Rattus norvegicus: one gene and its partners. The protein of the gene in region 1 binds, or shares a complex with, the protein of each later gene. Links are inferred from orthologs where the notes say so. Each region holds a gene or a part of one and is shown in the gene's direction. Other genes may lie near its edges.

The links.
Region 2: Ppih (region 1) and Prpf6 share a complex: the UniProt entries of both Homo sapiens proteins name them as parts of the U4/U6-U5 tri-snRNP complex. The link is inferred for Rattus norvegicus from reciprocal best matches to the Homo sapiens genes PPIH and PRPF6.
Region 3: Ppih (region 1) and Usp39 share a complex: the UniProt entries of both Homo sapiens proteins name them as parts of the U4/U6-U5 tri-snRNP complex. The link is inferred for Rattus norvegicus from reciprocal best matches to the Homo sapiens genes PPIH and USP39.
Region 4: Ppih (region 1) and Txnl4a share a complex: the UniProt entries of both Homo sapiens proteins name them as parts of the U4/U6-U5 tri-snRNP complex. The link is inferred for Rattus norvegicus from reciprocal best matches to the Homo sapiens genes PPIH and TXNL4A.
Region 5: Ppih (region 1) and Snrnp40 share a complex: the UniProt entries of both Homo sapiens proteins name them as parts of the U4/U6-U5 tri-snRNP complex. The link is inferred for Rattus norvegicus from reciprocal best matches to the Homo sapiens genes PPIH and SNRNP40.
Region 6: Ppih (region 1) and Lsm2 share a complex: the UniProt entries of both Homo sapiens proteins name them as parts of the U4/U6-U5 tri-snRNP complex. The link is inferred for Rattus norvegicus from reciprocal best matches to the Homo sapiens genes PPIH and LSM2.

The regions. Positions count from the first base shown.
Region 1 is NC_086023.1:138,206,781-138,210,967, reverse strand, and holds the start of Ppih (peptidyl-prolyl cis-trans isomerase H), read left to right. Parts: upstream 1-1,387; 5' UTR 1,388-1,411; coding exon 1,412-1,477; intron 1,478-1,655; coding exon 1,656-1,720; intron 1,721-2,039; coding exon 2,040-2,063; intron 2,064-2,322; coding exon 2,323-2,367; intron 2,368-3,395; coding exon 3,396-3,438; intron 3,439-3,809; coding exon 3,810-3,902; intron 3,903-4,187. UniProt on the Homo sapiens protein: PPIase that catalyzes the cis-trans isomerization of proline imidic peptide bonds in oligopeptides and may therefore assist protein folding. Participates in pre-mRNA splicing.
Region 2 is NC_086021.1:189,139,965-189,143,464, forward strand, and holds part of Prpf6 (pre-mRNA-processing factor 6), read left to right. Parts: intron 1-541; coding exon 542-661; intron 662-960; coding exon 961-1,137; intron 1,138-1,635; coding exon 1,636-1,769; intron 1,770-3,500. UniProt on the Homo sapiens protein: Involved in pre-mRNA splicing as component of the U4/U6-U5 tri-snRNP complex, one of the building blocks of the spliceosome.
Region 3 is NC_086022.1:105,933,552-105,937,051, reverse strand, and holds part of Usp39 (U4/U6.U5 tri-snRNP-associated protein 2), read left to right. Parts: intron 1-2,842; coding exon 2,843-2,978; intron 2,979-3,500.
Region 4 is NC_086036.1:75,947,229-75,950,373, forward strand, and holds the end of Txnl4a (thioredoxin-like protein 4A), read left to right. Parts: intron 1-2,295; coding exon 2,296-2,467; 3' UTR 2,468-2,645; downstream 2,646-3,145. UniProt on the Homo sapiens protein: Plays a role in pre-mRNA splicing as component of the U5 snRNP and U4/U6-U5 tri-snRNP complexes that are involved in spliceosome assembly, and as component of the precatalytic spliceosome (spliceosome B complex).
Region 5 is NC_086023.1:148,012,290-148,015,789, forward strand, and holds part of Snrnp40 (U5 small nuclear ribonucleoprotein 40 kDa protein), read left to right. Parts: intron 1-307; coding exon 308-369; intron 370-3,423; coding exon 3,424-3,500. UniProt on the Homo sapiens protein: Required for pre-mRNA splicing as component of the activated spliceosome. Component of the U5 small nuclear ribonucleoprotein (snRNP) complex and the U4/U6-U5 tri-snRNP complex, building blocks of the spliceosome.
Region 6 is NC_086038.1:3,848,866-3,853,165, reverse strand, and holds the start of Lsm2 (U6 snRNA-associated Sm-like protein LSm2), read left to right. Parts: upstream 1-1,500; coding exon 1,501-1,503; intron 1,504-1,672; coding exon of another isoform or gene 1,673-1,783; intron 1,784-2,033; coding exon 2,034-2,101; intron 2,102-4,300. UniProt on the Homo sapiens protein: Plays a role in pre-mRNA splicing as component of the U4/U6-U5 tri-snRNP complex that is involved in spliceosome assembly, and as component of the precatalytic spliceosome (spliceosome B complex).

The DNA.
Region 1 (4,187 bases):
TCAAGGTTATCTGCTGGCCTATCAAGTTTGAGGGTAAACTGACCCTGATATAACATGAAATGCTATCTCAAAAGTTCCCAAACACCGAGAGCTATTCTCCCAGAGGACCCAGTGTCAATTCCCTACATCCATCTGTCTCAACTGTCTGTCATTCAAGTTCTGTCAATCTAGGGGATCTGACACCCTCTTATAGCCTCCAGGGGCACCAGACGGACAAACATAACACCACTACACATAAAAAAAATTTTTTAAGTCCCCAAATAAACACATACTTGAATAAGGACAATAAGAGATTAACTGGAAAGTGAAATTACTAGCACAAAGGTTTTAAAACCTGAAACTTTCTATATCAAATGAGCTAAAAGCTTGTGACAGAAATGAGTCTAGAAACCTATCCCATGGGCAAATACCAATCCCTGACACTATTAATGATACTACTCTATTATGCTTGCAGGCAGGAGCTTAGCATGGCTGTTCTCTGAGAGACACTCTACCCAGCAGCTGACTCAGAAGGATGCAGAGAACCATGGCCAAACATTGGATGGAGCTTGGGGACTCTTAAGGAAGAGTTGGGGGAAGTGTTGAGGGCCTCTGAGGGGATAGGAACTCCACAGGAAAACTAACGGTCAACTAACATTGATCTTTTGGGGCTCTCAGAGACGGAACCACCAGCCAAAGAACATACACAGGATGGACCTAGACACACACGCACACGCACACAGTGCAGATGTGCAGCTCAGTCTTCATGTGAGTCCAGAATAACTGGAGTAGAGGCTATCCCAAAAGATGCCTGGCTGTTTCTTCTAGCTGGGCTGCCTTGTCTGGACTCAGTGGGAGAGAGTGGGCCTAACCTACAGAGACTTGATGGGGGTGGGGGATAACCAGAGGAGATCTCTACCCTCTCAGAAGAAAAGGTAAAGAGGGAATGGGGGAGAAATTGTAGGAGGGGGTAACCAGGAGAGGGGGCAGCGATCTCGGGGTGTAAAGTGAATCGATTAAAAAATAAAAACATTTTACAATCATAAAAAAGAATGAAATTACATTTCCAGCATCGCGACTTCGTCAACCCTACATAACATACCATTTTAAAATATGGAATGTGACCCAGAGGGTCCTCCTCTCATGGGCTGTAACAGAGGACACCAAGTGTGACTGCTCGGGAAAAGCTGTCTGCAAAAGATTCATTTGTATTACGCTAATACAGTCAAGAGAGTGGAGAAGCCCATAGACTTTGATAAAGACGCCTGCGCTCCTTCCCGCAGCTCGGACCAACTCAGCTAAAATTCCCTCAGTACCTGCCACACTTCCGGGGCGGGGCGCAACCGCGGACTGTTTCCACTGCGTCTGCGTTTCCGATGAAGTTCGCGGGACCTGTCACCGGAAGTTAGGCTTCTACTTCCGAGTCAAAGCCATGGCGGTGGCAAATTCAAGTCCCGTCAATCCAGTGGTCTTCTTTGATGTCAGTATTGGCGGCCAGGTGAGATGCGGGCGGCCCAGCGGGCCTGTGCGGGCTGACTGGACTCGGGTAAAGGAGGCAGCCGAGGGGGCCCTTCTAGCCCTCCCGAGATAGGCTGGGTCAGGCGGTGGAGGTGGGAGCTTCCGAGCTGCATGGACAGCGGTCGTGGGCTGAGTATTGCATCTCCCGTTTCTTGCAGGAAGTTGGTCGCATGAAGATCGAGCTCTTTGCAGACGTGGTGCCTAAGACGGCAGAGAACTTTAGGTAAAGATATGTATGCTCCAAGTGAACCAGAGCTGAGCCCTCGGTTCAGTCTTTGCCTTGTCTGCCTCTGTTCATTTATTCATTGCCTTAGAGTAGTGCTCTGGGTATTGCACTGGCCAAATAGCTACCGACTTTGACCGATCCCATATCAACTTAAATCACTAGTCTACGTGCCCTGACATCTGCCCGATCAGTTAGTTAGTGGGCATGCTGGCCCCAGTGTTTGAACTCTCCTCTCCAGAGATTAGAGGTGCTCCAAGCAGTGATGGTACGGCGGCTGAATCGTTCACTGTTTCTTTCTTGATTTCTTTCTTTTTAGGCAGTTCTGCACTGGAGAATTCAGGTCAGTCTCAGATGTGTTTGACTTCTCCACCAACTCCTGAAGGGTGACCTGGACGTTTGGTGAGGGTATTGGAGAACCATGAACAGGTCTCTAGTAATGAAAGATGATATGCAGAGAGAAGATGACTCCTTGGATGTGTTCTTTATCTCTTCTCCCATCCAGATCTTAGTGAGAGTCCTCTTAGCCTCTCGTGCATCCTAAATGGGGAAGACCCACGTTTATTTTTCATCATTCCTAGTGTCTTCCTTTGTGTTTACAGAAAAGACGGCGTTCCGATAGGATACAAAGGAAGCACCTTCCACAGGTAAGGAAGGCTTTTGGCAAACTGGAAATGCAGTCATCTCTTGGTATCTGTACAGGCAGTCCTGTACACCTGAATCCAAAACCTGTGGAGGATTAAGTCTGTTGTTTAAATGGCATGTTCAGGGCTGAGGCTGTAGCTTGGTAGAGAATTTGCCCAGCATTCATAAGACCCTGGATTCGGTACTCAGCACCATGTAGTCTGTGCACAGTGCCTTAAGTCATGCCTGACTTTATGTCATATTGATTGTAGAAACAGTGCCAGGGAAAGCACTCTGTACCTACTCAGTACCTGTTCAGTACAGGAGCATGTCCACATGTTCCTAGAGATCTAAACTCAGATCCTTAGGCTGCACAGCAAGCACTTTACCCGCTGAACCCTCCCTGGTTCTGGGTTATGACTTAGCAGAGACTTTGCGGTAACCACTGTTACCAGGCAGTCGTCTGTAGGAACCTGACCTTCACGATCTCCTGGCTTTCTATGTTTACTTATGAGTTTGACAGAAGTTGCTCCATTTTAATCCTGAAAATGTCCATTGTCTCCCATATCAAGGGTTTTAGAGCTGCAGTCTGTAATCCTCCCCTGGCATTCTTGTGAGGTGTTATGATGTGTTTTCTGAATTCTGCAAGGTAGGGAAAAGAGGCTAAGCAAAGCTAAGGACCTGGGTACACTAGCTGACATCATCCTCGAGTTTCAGTGTGTGCAGCAGTCCATTCACGTTGTGTTCTCTTTCCCCAAAGTGAGGTGGTTTTTTGATGATGTTGTTTTGTTTTCCTTTGGTGACTGTAGGTGTGTCTCTGCCAGGTTTTCAGTTCCTTTCTGTTGTTGAGGTGCTGACTCATACACCTGAGGGCAACTTAAAAGGGGCCCCTGAGTTAAAACTGTTAATCCCTCAGCTGGCTCACCCCAGGGACAAAGACTTTCTCTAAGCCTCAGTGATAAACACTGAACTCCAGAAGACATGCTAATCTACCACTTCAGTGGCTGAACCACTGAATCTTCCCTCAGGATTTTTTTTAACTCTCTTTCAGGGTCATAAAGGATTTCATGATTCAGGGTGGAGATTTTGTTAATGTAAGTACTGCTTTTTTTCTTTGTTAATTTTTTTCCAGCAAGGCCCAGTCTTGAGATTTAAGAATAATAGCTAAGGGACGGAGAGATGGTCTAGCAGTTAAGAGTACTGACTGCTCTTCCACAGGTCCGGAGTTCAAATCTCAGCAACCACATGGTGGCTCACAACCCTCTGTAATGGGATCTGACGCCCTCTGTCAGTCACTATCTTGTTGCCTCATGACAAGGTTGCACTAGATGAAAAGCTGCTTGGTTCAGCTAGGACAGCTGGCTGGCTGGCTCCCCTTACCTGTGGACCATTCTCCCCGGCCTTATCATCTGGTTTCCAGGGTGCCCAACACTCCAGGCCACTGATGTGTCTCTTCTCTACTCAGGGCGATGGTACTGGAGTCGCCAGTATTTACCGGGGTCCATTTGCAGATGAAAATTTTAAACTTAGACACTCGGCTCCAGGCCTGCTTTCCATGGTAAGTGAGGTTCAGTTAAGATTTGGGGTTAGATTAGATTACTGACTGGTTTCTGGTGCCTTGACACCCAGTTCTGTCCCTTGGAATTAGGCCTCACCTGCACCTAGCCCCTCCTCCTTCCTCAGTGTGGTTTGATCTTGTTGGGTGGGCTTTCACAGCTGTAGAAAGCAGACTAAGCTCTGACTTGTGTTGTGCCTTTATATGTACCAAGACTGGGCTTTTGCCTCAGTGTTCAATGGGCTTCCACGGTTGGTGCTCACCTGTTGTTGCCCTGGTTGCCGTGAG
Region 2 (3,500 bases), on another chromosome or scaffold:
TAGCAGAATTCCCAGAGCGGGGTGGGTACAAGTTTTGCGTGCACCACTTTTACATCTCCTGGACAGTGTATCTGTGTAGCTTGGCCCATGCCTTTGGGAGCCCTTTACACTTCGTTATCTGCACCTTGAACATCTTTCTACCCTGACCACATGGTGTGGTGTGCCGAGGGAAGGGATTAAACTAGATATAGCAACTCCCAACACAAAGGCATGCATTTTAAAGGTTGTGTAGAACTTAGACAGGTCCTAGAGAGGGCGCTGTAGAGCACTAACATTGTTGCCTCATCTCTGTACAAGAGTGAAAACAAATGCGGAGTTTTGTTTCTGTTTTCACCCTATAAGCTTGGGTCCTGGCTGAGGTCTTCCCTGTGACCCCCCAGCTTGTAGCTTGTGCAGGAGTGTACTGATACTAACTCATACTAGTCCTGCATCAGGGAGAGGGCCAGCTCAGGTTTCAGAATGCCTGTTTTTGATGAAGAGTGATCTAGCCTTGGTCACTTTTGTGCTGAGCCTTTCTGATGCAGCTGCATTTGTTCTCCAGGCCAACCCCAACAGCGAAGAGATCTGGCTGGCGGCTGTGAAGCTGGAGTCAGAGAACAATGAGTACGAGCGAGCCCGGAGGCTGCTGGCCAAGGCCCGGAGCAGCGCACCCACCGCCCGTGTGAGTGGTGACTGGTGGGTTGGGGAGGTTGGCTGGGTTCCTCTTGGCTCCTACATGGCATTTGGAAGGAGTGAGATGGGTGGCACAGCTCGACCCCAGCCCAGTCTTGGTCCTGGGCTTTAGCATGCATCCCTTATTTATCTGTACCTTTTGTATTCACAAGAGAGCTAATAAAAACTTAAGTGGCCCAGGACAGATGTGTGAAAGATGTGTGACTTTAAGCATGTGGTGTGGAGATAGCATCCAGATAAGTGGTGGATACGCCCTCCCTCATGTGGCAGTGCTTCTCGGCTTTGCAGGTGTTCATGAAGTCTGTGAAGCTGGAGTGGGTGCTGGGGAACATCACTGCCGCACAGGAGCTGTGCGAGGAGGCTCTGAGGCACTATGAAGATTTCCCCAAGCTGTGGATGATGAAGGGGCAGATTGAGGAGCAAGGAGAGCTGATGGAGAGGGCCCGGGAGGCCTACAACCAGGGGGTGAGTCTGTCAGGATATCTTAGAGAACGCAGCAGCAGGGCATAGTCATTTTCACACACCTCTGAAAAAGGTGGAGGGGCAGTGGTCAGTGATAGAACTTTGTGCTTGGGCCTGAGCCTTTGCTCTTCCTGTGGCTGTGGATACTGTGGTTTTTTCCTACAAAGTTGCACACCCTGTATTTGGGATATGTAGGGTTCGTTCGGTAGGTACATCAAAAGCAGCATAGTGAACACACTGTGCATGAAGTGCACACCCTGTATACACATGTACGTGACACATATACAAAGTCCTACAGGCATCCTTTATTGTACATGTACATAACACCATTACACACAGTAAACCAATGCATTCCTGTTTGCATGTGCACAGCACAGAGCCAGTCGAGTACGGAGTACATACCTAACAGCCCTGAAGTACTCCTGGAAACTGACCACAATTCTCAGTCTTTTGTAGATGCTCTCTGAGCTCTTATTTTGTACTTTTTTTTTTTGGTCACAGTTGAAGAAATGTCCTCACTCCACGCCACTGTGGCTCTTGCTTTCCCGGCTAGAGGAAAAGATTGGGCAGCTGACTCGTGCTCGGGCCATTTTAGAGAAATCTCGTCTGAAAAACCCAAAGAACCCTGGGCTGTGGTGAGTGTTGATACCTGGGCTGTGGTGAGTGTTGGTACCTGGGCTGTGGTGAGTGTTGATGATACCTGGGCTGTGGTGAGTGTTGATACCTGGGCTGTGGTGAGTGTTGGTACCTGGGCTGTGGTGAGTGTTGATACCTGGGCTGTGGTGAGTGTTGATACCTGGGCTGTGGTGAGTGTTGGTACCTGGGCTGTGGTGAGTGTTGATACCTGGGCTGTGGTGAGTGTTGATACCTGGGCTGTGGTGAGTGTTGATACCTGGGCTGTGGTGAGTGTTGGTACCTGGGCTGTGGTGAGTGTTGGTACCTGGGCTGTGGTGAGTGTTGATGATACCTGGGCTGTGGTGAGTGTTGGTACCTGGGCTGTGGTGAGTGTTGGTACCTGGGCTGTGGTGAGTGTTGGTACCTGGGCTGTGGTGAGTGTTGGTACCTGGGCTGTGGTGAGTGTTGGTACCTGGGCTGTGGTGAGTGTTGGTACCTGGGCTGTGGTGAGTGTTGGTACCTGGGCTGTGGTGAGTGTTGATACCTGGGCTGTGGTGAGTGTTGATACCTGGGCTGTGGTGAGTGTTGATACCTGGGCTGTGGTGAGTGTTGGTACCTGGGCTGTGGTGAGTGTTGATACCTGGGCTGTGGTGAGTGTTGGTACCTGGGCTGTGGTGAGTGTTGGTACCTGGGCTGTGGTGAGTGTTGATGATACCTGGGCTGTGGTGAGTGTTGGTACCTGGGCTGTGGTGAGTATTGGTACCTGGGCTGTGGTGAGTGTTGGTACCTGGGCTGTGGTGAGTGTTGGTACCTGGGCTGTGGTGAGTGTTGGTACCTGGGCTGTGGTGAGTGTTGGTACCTGGGCTGTGGTGAGTGTTGATGATACCTGGGCTGTGGTGAGTGTTGGTACCTGGGCTGTGGTGAGTGTTGGTACCTGGGCTGTGGTGAGTGTTGGTACCTGGGCTGTGGTGAGTGTTGGTACCTGGGCTGTGGTGAGTGTTGGTACCTGGGCTGTGGTGAGTGTTGATACCTGGGCTGTGGTGAGTGTTGATACCTGGGCTGTGGTGAGTGTTGATACCTGGGCTGTGGTGAGTGTTGATACCTGGGCTGTGGTGAGTGTTGATACCTGGGCTGTGGTGAGTGTTGGTACCTGGGCTGTGGTGAGTGTTGGTACCTGGGCTGTGGTGAGTGTTGATACCTGGGCTGTGGTGAGTGTTGATACCTGGGCTGTGGTGAGTGTTGGTACCTGGGCTGTGGTGAGTGTTGGTACCTGGGCTGTGGTGAGTGTTGGTACCTGGGCTGTGGTGAGTGTTGGTACCTGGGCTGTGGTGAGTGTTGATGATACCTGGGCTGTGGTGAGTGTTGGTACCTGGGCTGTGGTGAGTGTTGGTACCTGGGCTGTGGTGAGTGTTGGTACCTGGGCTGTGGTGAGTGTTGGTAATCAGCTCAGCCCCCTTAGAGACTGTCCTCAGCTCCCTCTTCATGTTAGCCCAGGCCCCTGTGGCCTCAGTATCGGTGACAGCTTCTGTGAGGGTCATAGTCCTGTTTGGGAGAGCTGGGTCTAGATGGTAAGTGTGCTTTTGGTGAAGTGTTCTAAGATGTCAGGGAGTGGAGCTGAGAAATGGACTATAAAAGGAGCAACAGGAAGACCTGGAGTAACATGAAGGAGCCGAGTAGTACTAGTACTCCCTGGTACCGGAGATGAGTGCAGAAGGCTAGGGAGTTAGACCAGGCTGGGCCACATGGATAGT
Region 3 (3,500 bases), on another chromosome or scaffold:
TCATGTGATCTGAAGAAGTTCTCTGAGAACATGGAGAAAGCCCATGGCAGTCTGACGTGAGTGTGTCAGCATCTGGTGGTGAGGAGGTTGCAGGTAGGGCAGTGTCTAAGACAGACTAGCGGAGAAAAGGCTTTGCCTGAGCATAAGATGTTTGACTCGGGGATGTCTAGAATATGTTCAGCTTTCCAGGGACAGGGAAGTTGTACATTTTTGTCTGTGTAACAAAGCTGTTTGGGGGTTGGGGATTTAGCTCAGCGGTAGAGCGCTTGCCTACCGAGCGCAAGGCCCTGGGTTCGGTCCCCAGCTCCGGAAAAAAAAAAAGAAACAAACAAACAAACAAAGCCGTTTGGGGCAGTAGTGGACGGGTGCTTCCCTCTTGGATTCTTTTCTTCCCATTTCCTCTCACTTTCCCCAAGTACAAGGACTGCCAGTTTTCCTTTGAATATATTTCCAGTTCTGAGTTCTGTTCAATCTAAAGTCTTAGGCTGGGGAGATGGCTTAGTGGGTAAAGTGCACTCTGGGCTGTAAGACTGAGATTGCATGAGTCCTAAGGCTCCCTCCAGGTAGGCTTTCTCTTTGAATGGATTCCACCCTTCCTGAGGATCTGTGGCAGTAGACAGTAAGGAGAGGACGTCCTGGGGGTCCTCTCCTTAATTACTAGAGACTGAGTCAGGCAGGCAGCTTCGGTGCTGGGTGAGCGCTGTATCACAGAGCTTTATCTGAATTTTATCTAAGTTTTTTCTAAGATTTGGAGACAGGATCTTGCTTTGAAGCTCAGGCCTGGTCTTTGCTGAACCCTGGCTCAACCTCCTCAACCTGCGATTCTAAGTGTGTGACAGCTGCCACGTAGGAGAATTTCTTAGGAATACAAGAGAATTCCCTTTTTTCCTTTTTAAAGGATATTATACAGTTTTTAAAATTATGTGTATGAATGTATTACCTGCATGTATGTCTGTTTATGGTGTGCATGTGGAGCCCATGGAGGCCAGAAGAGGTCATTGGACCTTCAGGAACTGGAGTTACAGATGGTTGTGAACCATGTAGGTGTAGAGAAATGAACCTGGGATGTCTGCAAGAGCAGTCAGTGCTCTTAACCTCTGGGCCGTCTCTCCAGCCCCTCCTTCCCACACTTTTCTTCCTGTTCTTCGCACCATCCTGTTTGTGTGACAAGTAGAACAAAGTAAGGAACACAGAAGCCATCTGCCTGTTCTTTTTAGTGGACTCCAGAAGCACTGTCTTTCAAATTCCATCAGCCAGGGTGTATGTCAGAGCAGCCTCCTGTGAGTTGCCACCATCACCAGTCTGCTCCTGAGAGCAGGAGTGCTTCCGCTGCAGGGCGCCGCTGTGGGTGGATGGGCCGCTGCGGGTGCTTCTGTTGAGAAGCTGCCGGAACTTCTTACCCTGCTAGCTTTTCTTTTGGGCTTGGCGTGTTTTTGTCTTCTTATCTGTCTGTGCATTTGTGCATCTGGGAGTTGTGACTTGAGTAGTTTGTCCTTTGGAAAGCTTGCTCCAGGAAAGTTAGAAAACAGGAGGTCTATTCTTAGAATAGGGCTCCATGACTTCTTTATTAACATTTTATCTATTTTGTTTATGGGTATCTGTGAGCCTGGACACATGTGGGAAGCCGAGAATGAGGTATACGATTAATTTCTCCTCTTTCACTGTGTGGATCAAACTCGGGCCACCAGGCTTGCATGGCCAACACTTTATCAATTGCTTCATTTCCCTAATTGTTTTAAAAAAAAAACCCTTATTGAGACAGGGTCTCTACATAGTTTTTCTGGCTCTCATATGTAGGCCAGGCTGACTGAACTCCTAGAGATCCTCCTGCCTCTTCCTCATGAGGAATTAAAGGTGTATGGAGGCATGAAATGGGAGTTTATTCAAGGCTTCTAGATTAGGAAACCAGCACTGAAGAAAACAATGGATCCAGAAAGTATACATCACTTTATGTATATGAGTGTTTTCATCAGCATGTGTGTTTGTACACTGCATGTGTGGCTTTGCCTTTGAAAAGCAGAAGATGGCATTGAGAGACCTTGTATAAAAAATAAGGAAGAGAGAAACTGAGGAAGACACTGGGTGTTGATCTCTCACCTGTACAGGCATTCATATCCATCTGCATGTGCACACAGGAACATACACCACACATACAAAGGAACAGAAGGCAGCCAGCTCTCTGGACCCTTTTTTTCTTCAGTGCTGGTTTCCTAGTCTGGAAGCCGTGAATAAACTCCCATTTCATACCTTTGCTAATTATGTGAGCTGTGTTGCTTGCAATGATTTTGCCTCTAACTTCACTGAAAGAAAATGAAAGTAAGGGCCTTAAAAATAAAAAGCTGATGGTTTGCCTAGTGTTCAGATTAGATGGTTGCAGTGGTGACCTAGCATGTGGTCATTCTTCTTCCTGTAGGCCTGAGGGCACAGGACAGGCGCTGCCTGAGTCCTGGAGCTGCAAGGTGGCTCCAGCTAGGCCCGAGGTGAAGCCCTGCTGCCCCAGCTCATTACTCCCAGGGTAGCTAGTGGGGTCACATTCCTGTGTAACCTGCTTAGATTCACAGCTGTCATGTATGTGACAGCCAAGATTCCCGTTTAGATCCAGGCGAGCAGAGATCCTGCACTTCTGGCACCTAGACATGGTTCTAAAGGGTGTTTTCCTGATATAAGTAGTTGCTGTTGAGAAATGTAAAATTCAACTCACTGGGACATTTTTGGCACTGTAAACCTTCCTAGAGCGAGGACCCTAAAGTAACTGTCAGTCACTCTGTGGTTCATTTGTTCCTGTGTAGGGATTTCTCTAACTTGATAGCCATGGTCTGACTTATTTATTTTGTGTCTCCAGAAATGTGGATCTGAGAGAATACTTATCTGAAGAAGTCCAAGCAGTCCACAAGAACACCACCTATGACCTCATCGCCAACATTGTGCATGATGGCAAGCCTTCTGAGGGCTCCTACAGGATCCATGTGCTTCATCATGTGAGTGAGTGAGTGGCCCCTGGCTGGCATGGCACAGAGCTGCAAAATAGCATTGTTCCTCTGGTGGCTTTGAGTTTGTTTGCCTTTTTTGGGCAACCTTGCCTAAGTACTCCAGCAACCTTGCCTAAGCTCGTGCATGCAGCATGCTGTGAGGAAGGTTGGCTGTGTCGGCATCACTGATCGCAGGCCAGGAAACAGTGTAGGTGCTGAGCAGTGCCCACCAAGACGCCTTACTTTATTCTGGGGTGAGGGTAGGAGGGAGAATGTCTACTTTTAGGTTCTTAGCAGCTAGCTTCATGTACTTTTTTTAGGAGTTTGTCTGTTTTACCTTTTGGGGGCCGGGGGCAGGAAAAAAGACATTAGAGATTAGAGGGCTTTCTCCTTTTTCCTCTTGAGTGGCCACACAAATTCCTTTTCAGAAGGGTAGAAATGGGTCTGGGGATTTAGCTCAAGTGATAGGGTATCCAGTATGCACAAAGCCTAGGCTTGATTCCAACACCACATAACTGGGGGTAGTGGCAT
Region 4 (3,145 bases), on another chromosome or scaffold:
GGCTTTTCTTCTTGCTGCTGTTGGTGGGAGCCACTCTGCTCTTTAAGGCTCCTCTGTCTGAGTAAGACAGCATCCATTGTCTGTCACAGTGAGCTTTTCGCACAATCCTCTCCTTCTTAGAGGGGGGTTAGACTAGTGCGAGTTGGGTAATCACAGTGATCTCCTTTTAGAGCCAGCTACTGAGGAGCTTGGCCCGTGTCAGGAATGTCCTGTGCAGTGTCACAGCAGAGGTCCCAGGGACGGGCGGTATTTTAGGATTTTGTCTATTATCCTTGAGACTGTCCTTCCCTTAAAGCAAGCCAGGACCCTCTCCCAGGTCTCCAAGGACCCTAGAGACCCCACTCCTGGGACCAGCAGGTCACAGTCCTCATTGTCCAGATCACCCAGTCAGTTGCTCTGAGGTCTACAGCGTGACCCCTGCCCTGTGAAGTTGTTCCAGCTCAGAGGGATTGGGCAGAAACAGGGAGCCTCTTCCCCTTCCACCTCCAACACCCCACACCTGCACACACAGCACACAGGGCCAGACAAACTTTAATAAGGCTCAGTATTACACTCCTAGCTGCGTGCTCCCCCTGGGAAGGGATCTAACCAAGTCTCCTTCATGACTGATGCTTGCAGCTGAGCAGGTTGACCAGCTCTTTCAGCCACAGTGGGGGCCATTCTCTTCTTTCCACAGTCTTCTCTTCCTCCACAGTTGCTGCCTGCGAATGTTCTGGCCTTCAGCACTGTGCTATCTGAAGAAGCTGCGAGTTTAATTTTCTCACTAACAGTCCTGAGCCCACTCATCTCTGTCCTTTACGGACAGAAAGAAAACAGGCAGCATTTCCTTGTTTGGAAATCTCTTCTGCTAAAAAACAAGTTCAGTTAACAAGTTCTGCTTTCCATACAACTATAGGACACAGTAGTTCCTTCCCAGTGTGCAACCAAAGTCCCTTCCTCTTTGTGAGAAACAAGGCGCTCACTTCACATGGGAGAGAGGGACTAGCTTAGAGAGACAGCGACAGGCATGGGAGGAGGTTGGAGGAAGCAGTGTTGGTGTGTGGGTAGGGACAGCCGGTGTCTTTGAGGTCATTAGGACAGATAGTGGACTCAGAAAAGAAGACAAATTTCCTCCTTCTTCTGTGATCCAAAGTTCTAGAACAAGAGTCAAGAGTGGTCAGTTTATATCCCAGTGTACCTACCAGGTACACTGAGTACCTACCAGGTTTTACTCTTAGGACTGGGACAGAGTAAGAGAAGCCAGGCTCCTCTTTACAAAAACCCTTTGCAGAGATAAAACTGACTGAAGCCTGTCAGAATCACACAGGGTTCCCGGGTATACAAAGTACTAGTCATGTCCAGTGTGCTTACAGAGAGACTAAGCCATAGAGCCCAGTAGGGCTGCTGTGCATGTGGGTAGGAGGAGGTGTGGGTGTCCACCCCCTTCCTGGGCTAACTGAGGACATGGAATGCTCCCTGGGAGTGAATATTTGACATATGTCATGTCAAACTGACCTTTTCACTGCTCTCAGAACCAGTGGGGCGTGGTCATGGGCTATAGTGGAAGCCAGTGTGTGATTCCATAGAAGTGATCCCATAGTGTTAGACTAATAGAAACAGATCTTTAGAAACTTGAAAAAATTCATGCAAATTCAGTAGGGATTAATATCTTTATTCAGAAAGTACAAATGCAGGTTCCTAAGTGAGGGAAAGGCCTGTCCTCTGAAGGGTGAGTGGCTAAGGACTGTTTGCTTCTCAGTCACAGCATACCAGGTGGGCAAAGCCATCATTCTCAACCCACGGTTACAAAGCGTTTGGTGAATCTGTACCAAGTCCCTGTGCACAAAGCATGAGAAGGTCACAGGCTTTTTCAGGAAAATTAGAGCACCTCGGGAAAACTGCTTGTCTTTCAGAACGATACAGCTGTCTTTGACCTTTACAGTCCAAGATACGGATGCACAATTGCAGGGCACAGCGGTGCATGCCCTCAGTCTAGAACTCGGGAGCAGGGGCAATGGGGTCTCTGAGTTTGAGGCCAGCCCTATCTACAAAGTGAGTTCCAGGACAATCAGAGATATGTAGAGACCCTGTCTCAAAAGAACTAAATTATATATGTAAACAAATGCACAGAAAATCCAAGAAGAGTGCAGAGTTTTTCTATAGAAAATTATATTTAGTGTTTGTCTTTATTTTGTCTTGAACTGTGGACTCTCTGAGTGGTCTGTGCTCTTAAATGGCATTACAGGTGCTTAGGCCGCAGAGAGACCAGACGTGCGTGGGGCTCTCTGTGAGCATCGCTCTTCTCTTCTCTTTCAGAAACAAACACATCATGATTGATTTGGGCACTGGTAACAATAACAAGATCAACTGGGCCATGGAAGACAAGCAGGAAATGGTTGACATCATAGAGACCGTGTACCGTGGCGCCCGCAAAGGCCGAGGCCTGGTGGTGTCGCCCAAGGACTATTCCACAAAGTACAGATACTGAGCACTGACTCAGGCTGTGCACAGGACACTGGGAGCCTCTTCTGGCTAGACAGACTCTGCTCTCATAGCCTCGGGAAAGGGCCTGCAGCAGAACATGGCCTTAGGGCTGGAGGAGCCTTGAGATGAGTTACAGGGGCCTTAACTACCTGAAGCAAATAAACGTGAAGGAACAGTAGGAATCTGCCGTGTGCTTTACTGACTGTAAATGTCTTCACTCTCAGTGAAAGCGTTGTCTGTCCCATGAGGCTGTCAGGTTTTGCATCTTCAAGTGGTCGCTAGAGCTGTCAAGCAAATACCACAGATAGGGTGGCTTCCACAGACATTTCAGCTGTATGGTTTTCCAGGTCTGCACCTGAGGTGGCTGTGTTCTGGGTTCCATTTGAGGCGTGGGCTATCCATAGTAACCCCTTAGCTCTGGAGGTTATTAGCCGTCCTTGGTGAACCTTGGATTGAGAGTACATTATCCCAGTGTTTGCCATTTTCCTTACGAGTTGTGTATGTCATGTGTACGCATGTATATGCCAATCTCAAAATATTCATAGTTATAAGAATACCAGTCACATTGTCTGAGGGGCCCACCTCACTCTGACAACCTCATCTTAACCAATTACATATGATAATCACTTCAAATAAGGTCATGGTCTGAGATTCTGAGCTTAAAACATCAATATATTGATTT
Region 5 (3,500 bases), about 9.8 Mb from region 1:
ATCTTTATGAATTCGAAGCCAACCTGGTCTACAAAGTGAGTTCTAGGACAGTCAAGGATGTTGTTACACAGAAAAACCCTGTCTAGAAAAACCAATACATGAATAAGAATTTTTTTTAGAAGTAAGATACGGAAATATTTAAAGAAAAATTAATGAGATTACAGAGCGTGCTGTTTTGAGCAGGAGTGTGATGGCTGATGACGTCTGGGAGATACTGAAGCCTAGTAGGGAATTAAGTCAGCTGACCCCTAGTGCAGCGAGACGGGTTTAGCACACTAACTGTTCATGGAGTCTTTTTTCATTGCAGAACCTCCTGAGGTGTTCCTGGTCACCAGACGGAAGCAAGATAGCAGCTGGCTCAGCAGACAGGTAAGGGTCCCTGGGTATGAGGTGGAGAATGGGGTGGCTATGCGGGTCCCACACCTAATGCCTAACTGTGAAGACAACAGAGGTACAGCTTTCCACGTGACTGAGGGGCTCTCAGAAGTGAAGCCGTGTGAAGACAAATGGTTTAGAGCCCATGTTGGACACACGTAGTTTTCTGTCTGTTTGTTTTTAGGCCTAGAGAGTCGACTGTGTTTATATCTGTTGGAGACTGATAATCTTCCTAGTGTCTCTGCCTTCTCCTTCCCGTCATGTAATACATTAGAGGCTGTCCCTCCTGCCATTCTTCTCCAGGGTCTCTCACACCTCCCTCAGTGCTCTCTAGACTGTCTTCCCAGTAACCACTCTGCTCCTTCTCTGAGCTATCCATGGCACTCTCTCAGTGTTCGCTCCCTCGCCTTTTCTCTCTCTTCTCCTTCACCCTCTCCCTTCCCCCTCTCTCCCTTTAGCATGACACATTGCTCTTTGTTCCATACATCTAACTTTTATACATATTTTTCTTCCTTACATTTAGACAGACATTGGGGGCATCTCTGTGAATGGCTCTCACAGTCAGAACAATCTTTTGACATCCTCTGTAAACCCAGGGTACTGGTTGGTGCTTGAATTCTGAGCGCTTGCTGTTTCAAGGACAAATTCCTAGGTCAGAGGTGACAATCAAATGCCACCCTTGTATCAACCCAGCATTTGGTCATAGCTGTCAATGTTAAAGATAATTCAGAATCAGCTCCAGGCTCGGTGGAAAGTGCCAATGTCGCTGAGGGAAGCAGGTTAGATAGCGTCCATCTCTGCCAAGTCACTAGGCTTTCCCGAGTATGAACTTAGAATGACTCAAGGCCTTAGTTGTGAATGGGAAACAGGGCAGAATTCACCTGTCAGATACAGGCTGGTTCTGGTGTCTGTGGTGCTGCGTACTTGGGAGAAAATCTGATGGAGTAGAGATTCTGAGTGCCAGGGACGAAGGACTTGTAAGTGACGCCTAGAGGTTCACAGTAGAGGCCTGAAAGCAGGGGTTCCCTTTGGGGACATGCTTAGAAACTTTGCAAGACAAGGTGTCATCATGGATCTCTGGCTGTCTTCAGACTCAGTGCGTACGGCAGACTGGCCTTGAACTCCGAGCAGGAGTGAGCTAGCGTGTCCAGCTCACATCTTCTGACTTACAATGTCTTCTTGCTCCTCTTCCTCTGACCAATCCTTAAAGAGGACACATGGCTTGGTGGAAGGAAAGCGTGCTCCTCTGCTGAGCTTGGCTGGATTTCACAGGCCACCCTGATAGCCTAAAGTCAGCAGTCAGTTCTGTTGTATAAGTAACCTGGTTTCTACCAAATGGTGACATGCCCACGTGTGGGGAGGACAAGGAACCCTCTAAATTTAGCATGTAATTGGCAGCCATGAGGAGTGAGCAAGGCCTTGAAGTAAACCCTTGGAGATCTAGGCTTCTGCTGGTTTCTGCCAACTTGAGAGATAATATCCAACTCAGAAAACCACTTTCCAGCTGTGCCTGGGTCTGGTGGGTTTCCCCTTCTGCTTACAGATCACCTCCCCCTGTGCCCTCTAACCCTCCGCAGCCCTGTTACAGGCACCGGCTGAGCCGCCAAGAGGATTCAGGTCAGCACATGACTTCATTGGCTCTGGCTGTGTAACACACTCACATTAGCAATAGCAGTCACTAATTCTGCGTGCCACTTTGCGTATATTCTTGTTCTCAAAAAGTTAGAATCCAGGGGTTGGGGATTTGGCTCAGTGGTAGAGCGCTTGCCTAGGAAGCGCAAGGTCCTGGGTTCGATCCCCAGCTCCGAAAAAAAGAACCAAAAAAAAAAAAGCTAGAATCCTTTTTTCCCCCACCTTTTTTTTTTTTTTGGTTCTTTTTTTCGGAGCTGGGGACCAAACCCAGGGCCTTGCGCTTCCTAGGCGAGCGCTCTACCACTGAGCTAAATCCCCAGCCCCTCCCCCACTATTCTAACGAAAGAAAGGCAGTTGTCTGACAAGCTGGCCAGTGAGTCCATGCTGTGGACCTTGCCCCCACTATTCTGACTCCAGTGCCGTCAGCCTTCCCCTCTGCCTGGGGCGGGGCTGGTGAGGGACAGTGGCTTGTGCGTGGCAGAGATAGGCATCAGAGGGCATGAGCACTAGCTCAGAGGCAGGGATGGGGTCTGCCTCCTGTCTAGACTATTTAGGTCTTATATAGCCCAGGATGGCCTTTAAATTCCATGTCTTGCAGCCTGTTTGTACCAAGTGCTGGGTTTACACGCATGTGCCAATATACCCAACTATTCCAAGTGTGTTACTCAGATTTGGAGCCCACACGGAGAGAGCACAGGACATAACTAATGAACTCTTGTTCATTTGTTGAGTATAGGGGTTTAGACCATCTCAGTACATTCTAGGCTGGCCTCAAACCCATAGTCCTCCTGGCTTCCCTCTTCCCAGTGCTGGGATTGCAGGTATAGTCTTTCTGTGATTTCAGAATTTTGTCAATTCTGTAAATAGCATAATCAGTCATGGACTGTATCTATTTTGTTGGGGTTTGTTTGTTTTTTAGCATTCTTTTTTTTTTTAAGATTTATTCATTTATTATATATAAGTACACTGTAGCTGTCTTCAGACACACCAGAAGAGGGCATCGGATCTCTTTACAGATGGTTGTGAGCCACCATGTGGTTGCTGGGAATTGAACTCAGGACCTCTGGAAGAGTAGCCAGTGCTCTTAACCACTGAGCCATCTCTCCAGCCCTTGTTTGTTTTTTGAGACAGGGTTTCCCTGTGTAGCCCTGGCTTTCCTAGAACGAACTCTGTATATCAGGCTGCCCTTAAACTCACAGAGATCTTAATGCTAGGATTAAAGGCATGCAGCACTGCTGCCTGGCCTCAGTTTGGTTGGTTTGAAGCCCCAAATATTCTCTGTTTCAGTTGGTGTTGTCCTGTTTTCCAAAGCCCAGAGGATTGTTCAGTAAGCAAACGTTCTCCATTTTGCTTCCAGCCCAAGTGCTCTGACCCTCTTCTAAGGGACCTTCCTTTGTTTGTTGTGGCATCTTGCAGGTTTGTGTACGTGTGGGACACCACAAGCAGAAGGATCCTGTATAAGCTTCCTGGTCATGCTGGCTCCATCAATGAGG
Region 6 (4,300 bases), on another chromosome or scaffold:
ATAAGGGCAAAGTACTTGAATTTGTGTAAGTTGAGCATATCCAACAATTTTTTTTTTGGTTTTGAGGCAGGTCTGCCTCAAATGTCTTTCGTTCATGCTGCCTACATGACTGGAATTACAGAACGTTACACCTGCCAGGAAAAATATTTTCTAATTCTCAGGCACCCTGAGCCCATAGGAAGCAGCTGCTAAATGTACTGACTGCTTCTAACCAGTGACAGCCTCTTTTAGATTCAGGTGTTAAAGTTTCTGTTGAAACTCGGTAACATCTTGCTTGGTAATCATGATGGATCCAGCTCTGAACACAGTGATGTGCACAGGTGGAGTGGGGTAGGTAGGACAGAGAGGGAAGACACATCTTAGGGTCTTGCTGGCAAGTCAGTCTAGCTGAATGAACCTGTCCATTCCAGGATCAGTGGCAGATCCTGTCTCAGAAAATGAGATGGCTAAGTCGTTAAGGACATATGTTGCTCTTCGGCAGGACCAGGGTTTGATTCCCAGCACCCGTATGGTGGCTAACAACTATAACTCCAGAGGATCCAACACACTCTTTTAGTGTCTGGGAACACTGCACATGTGGTACACAGATATACGTGCAAGGAAAAACTCACACATATAAAATTTTAAAATATTAAGTAAGTGGAAAGAACAGCCAGCATTCATCTCTGGCCTACACAGGCAGGCATGCTCCAAGCTTCACCCAGACCCCCAGGAAACCGACTTTTTTGGTATCATGCAATCAGCAGGCCTAGTCTCTCAGAATTCTCACCTGTGTACCATGACTGCCTTGCACCAACAGCCAGCCTCGAGAAGACAAAATAGCAAGTGTTTTCCTATTTATCCAGACATGATATCTACAGAAGCTATAACCTAGCAACTTCCCATTTAATTACTAGTAAAAATAATACGGCTGGAGAGATGGCTCAGCGGTTAAGAGCACTGACTGCTCTTCCAGAGGTCCTGTGTTCAAATCCCAGAAACCACACGGTGGCTCACAACCATCTGTAATGGGATCTGATGCCCTCTCCTGGTGTGTCAGAAGACAGCTACAATGTACTTATATATAATAACTCAATCTTTTTTAAAAGAATATGCAAGTCATAATTTTCTCAATCTTCCCAATAATTCTCAGTAGAAAGCGTAGAGTATGAGCAAGTCACCCGGCACAGAGAAGAATCTAAAAAATTATCAGGGAGGCGAACTACATCCAACGCGCAGCTGCTATGGCCCACGCACGCGCTCGGGAGGGAGGAGTTCCTTGGGAGGAAGTGGGAGACAGGAAGTCCCGCCCTCCTCCCGGTTTGGCGGTCCTCTCTGCTCTGCCCTACTCCGCTCCCTTTGAGCCCAGATTCAGCCGCGGTTTTCGCGGTTCCCCTTGCGCCTGCGTGATCCTGTCCTGCCTCACGCGCGGGCTCGTGCTCCGGCTCCCGCCCTGCCTCCGGCCCGCAGTCCCCGGCGCCTTCCTTCGCGGTCCAGGCCGCCCCTCGTGGCGCCAGCACCATGGTGGGTACCGTGACGTCAAAAGGGAGCGCCGCCGCCCGCGGCGGGCGGTTCGAACTGTTCGGGTCTTGGTTGCGCTCTAGTGTTTGTTGCCTTGGGCTGTAGCTAAGCCCTAGGGTTTTCCTTACAACCTCAGGGCCCACACCCTGTGTGAGGAGACTGCTTGGAACCAATGGTTTTTTTGGGGAAACTTCCAGCAAGTCCAAGAGAAAGCCCACGGGCGCCGGGGGAGAACGGAAAGCTAGTCTTGCATTTCCGTGCTGGAGATCAGGATTTTGTGAGGGTGCGGTTGGGAAGCGGTCTCGAGCAGGGAGGTGGTCGATTCGGAGAGTGGGTTCTGGCATCGAGGGGTGCAGCGCAGTTATTGTCTCTCTGTGGCCCCAGGAATTGCAGTCTCTGTTAACGGATTGTTGATGGTGGTGAAATTTTGAGAACTACTAGGTGGGGCCAAAAGGACTGGTATTTCAAATGCCGTCACGGGTTCCTCCTCCCTGTCCCTTTTCATGTGATAGTTCCTCCCTCTTTTCCAATAGCTCTTCTACTCCTTTTTCAAGTCCCTTGTGGGCAAGGATGTAGTCGTGGAACTCAAGAATGATCTGAGGTAGGTCTTTATTTCAGCGAGTTGGTGGAAGGTGGGAGGTGCCTGGTGTCCTGATCGTTTTCGTGGTTGTTGTTCACAAAGCTATTTTAGAGCAGAGGGGCAAAACACAGAAGAAATATCTTGTGTCTTGAGTGTAAAGATTAGTTTAAGAGTGAGCCTGGTGCTGTGGCACATGCGTGTAATCCCAACGCTGATGCAGAATTGTGAATTCAAGGACAGTTTGGTCTACATATGTCCAGGGCCAGCCAGAGTTACACAGTGAGATACAGTTAAGTAACATGTATGTGCAGTCCTGGATGTCCCGGAACACACAGATCCGCCTGCCTCTGTCTCCTGAGTGCTAGGATTTGCCCTGCTGTATCATTTGCTCTTAACCATTCAGGAGTGGATTAAATGCTGTATCACTGGAAAGATGTTTATGGCTTCTTGTCACATCATCCATTAGAGTCTACTTTCTTTTTTTGTTTGTTTGTTTGTTTATTATACATAAGTACATTGTAGCTGACTTCAGAAACACCAAAAGAGGGCATCAGATCTCATTATAGTTGGTTGTGAGCCACCATGTGGTTGCTGGGATTGAACTCTGGACCTCTGGAAGAGCAGTCAGTGCTCTTAACCATTGAGCCATCTCTCCAGCCCCTAGAGTCTACTTACTTTCTTTCTTTCTTTCTTTCTTTCTTTCTTTCTTTCTTTCTTTCTTTTTTCTTTTCTTTTGTTCGGGGCTGGGTACTGAACCCAGGGCCTTGCGCTTGCTAGGCAAGCGCTCTACCACTGAGCTAAATCCCTAATTCTAGAGTCTACTTTCTTAATAGTGCTTAGAAAATTATAGGTGTCACTGATGTCTATTTTTTTTTTCATGTACTGGATGGGCATGCTCAACAGGTGAACTTCATTTCCAGCCCTCGTGTTTCTTTTTAAAATCCTTTTATTTGTAGACTCTTGAAACCTTTGAGCACAGGTCAGTGCTTGAGAGCCTTGATTCTAAGACAGAACGTGGTGTTGACAAGCAGGATGGTTATGGCCAGTGTGGGCAAGTGAGAGGCTGGCCCAGGCCGGGGTGGAGAGTAGCTAAGACTTTTTCTAGTCTAAAAGTCAGACCACACAAGTGTTCTTCCACAGAGCAGTGGGGGTTCGTAGAATGTAGAGAGTGAAGAAGTAAAATGCAGGATCTGGGGTTGTTAATTAAAATTTTAATTCCTCTGCACCTCCGTGCAGTGGGTAAATATAAGATGGGTAACATGGTGTGGGAGCAGTGGCTTTGATAACTGTACTCAGGACTAGAGGGTGGGGGAGTGTAGCATTAATAATAGTTAATTTCAGCTGCCATGTATATGTAGGTCTCTGGCTCCAAAGCATAAATGTTTACAAGTAACAGCTATTGGAGCTGCAGAGATGGCTTGGTGCTTTAAAAAGAGCTTGCTGCTCTTCCAGAGAAATAGAGTTCAGTTCCCGGCAGCTACATTAGGTGATTGACAACAGTTTGTTGGGCTGAATACAACTCCTTAGAACTCTGGCTTCAATGGATCTGATGCCCTCTTCTGGTCTCTGTGGGTAACTACATGCACATACACACAAATAGTAAAAATCAGTATTTAAAAATAATGGATGTTTCTGGGAGTCGTGCAGATCAGGGCTGACATTCCAGTTCATTTGTGTAAGTTTTGGTACCTTACATGACCTCTCATAAGTCCTGGATGATACTACTTTGAAAGGTGATTAGCTGAGTGGTTGATGGCTGTTCATCCCTTAAACCTTTAAACCTAGCCCTCAGGAGGCAGGGGCAAGGGCAGGGGCAGGGGGGAGTTTGAAGCCTGCCTTATCTACAGAGCTAGTTCTAGAACCCCACAGGGAAACCCAGTGGGCAATGGCCATGAGTAGTGCTCCTAGCTGTAGTTCTAGAACTTCAGAAGTGGAGGTAGGAATGCCAGAAGTTGGAGGCCAGCCTGGGCCAAGTGAGAACCTGTCTTAAAGTGGAAATACTAATATTAAATGGAGCATAGGCCCGGCCTGACTACGAGCTTCTGATGTGTTGGTGTGAGGACAGACTGAGTCTGAGGTGCTTTATCATTTCCACCTCAGAACTTACAGGGGCTGCCTGCTGGCTTCAGGGCCTAGAGTTCCTCCCCCCTTGTCACTGTAGTTCTGATTTTCCCTCTGCTGATTCCAGCATAAATGAATGCTTCTCTCCTCTTTGCTCCC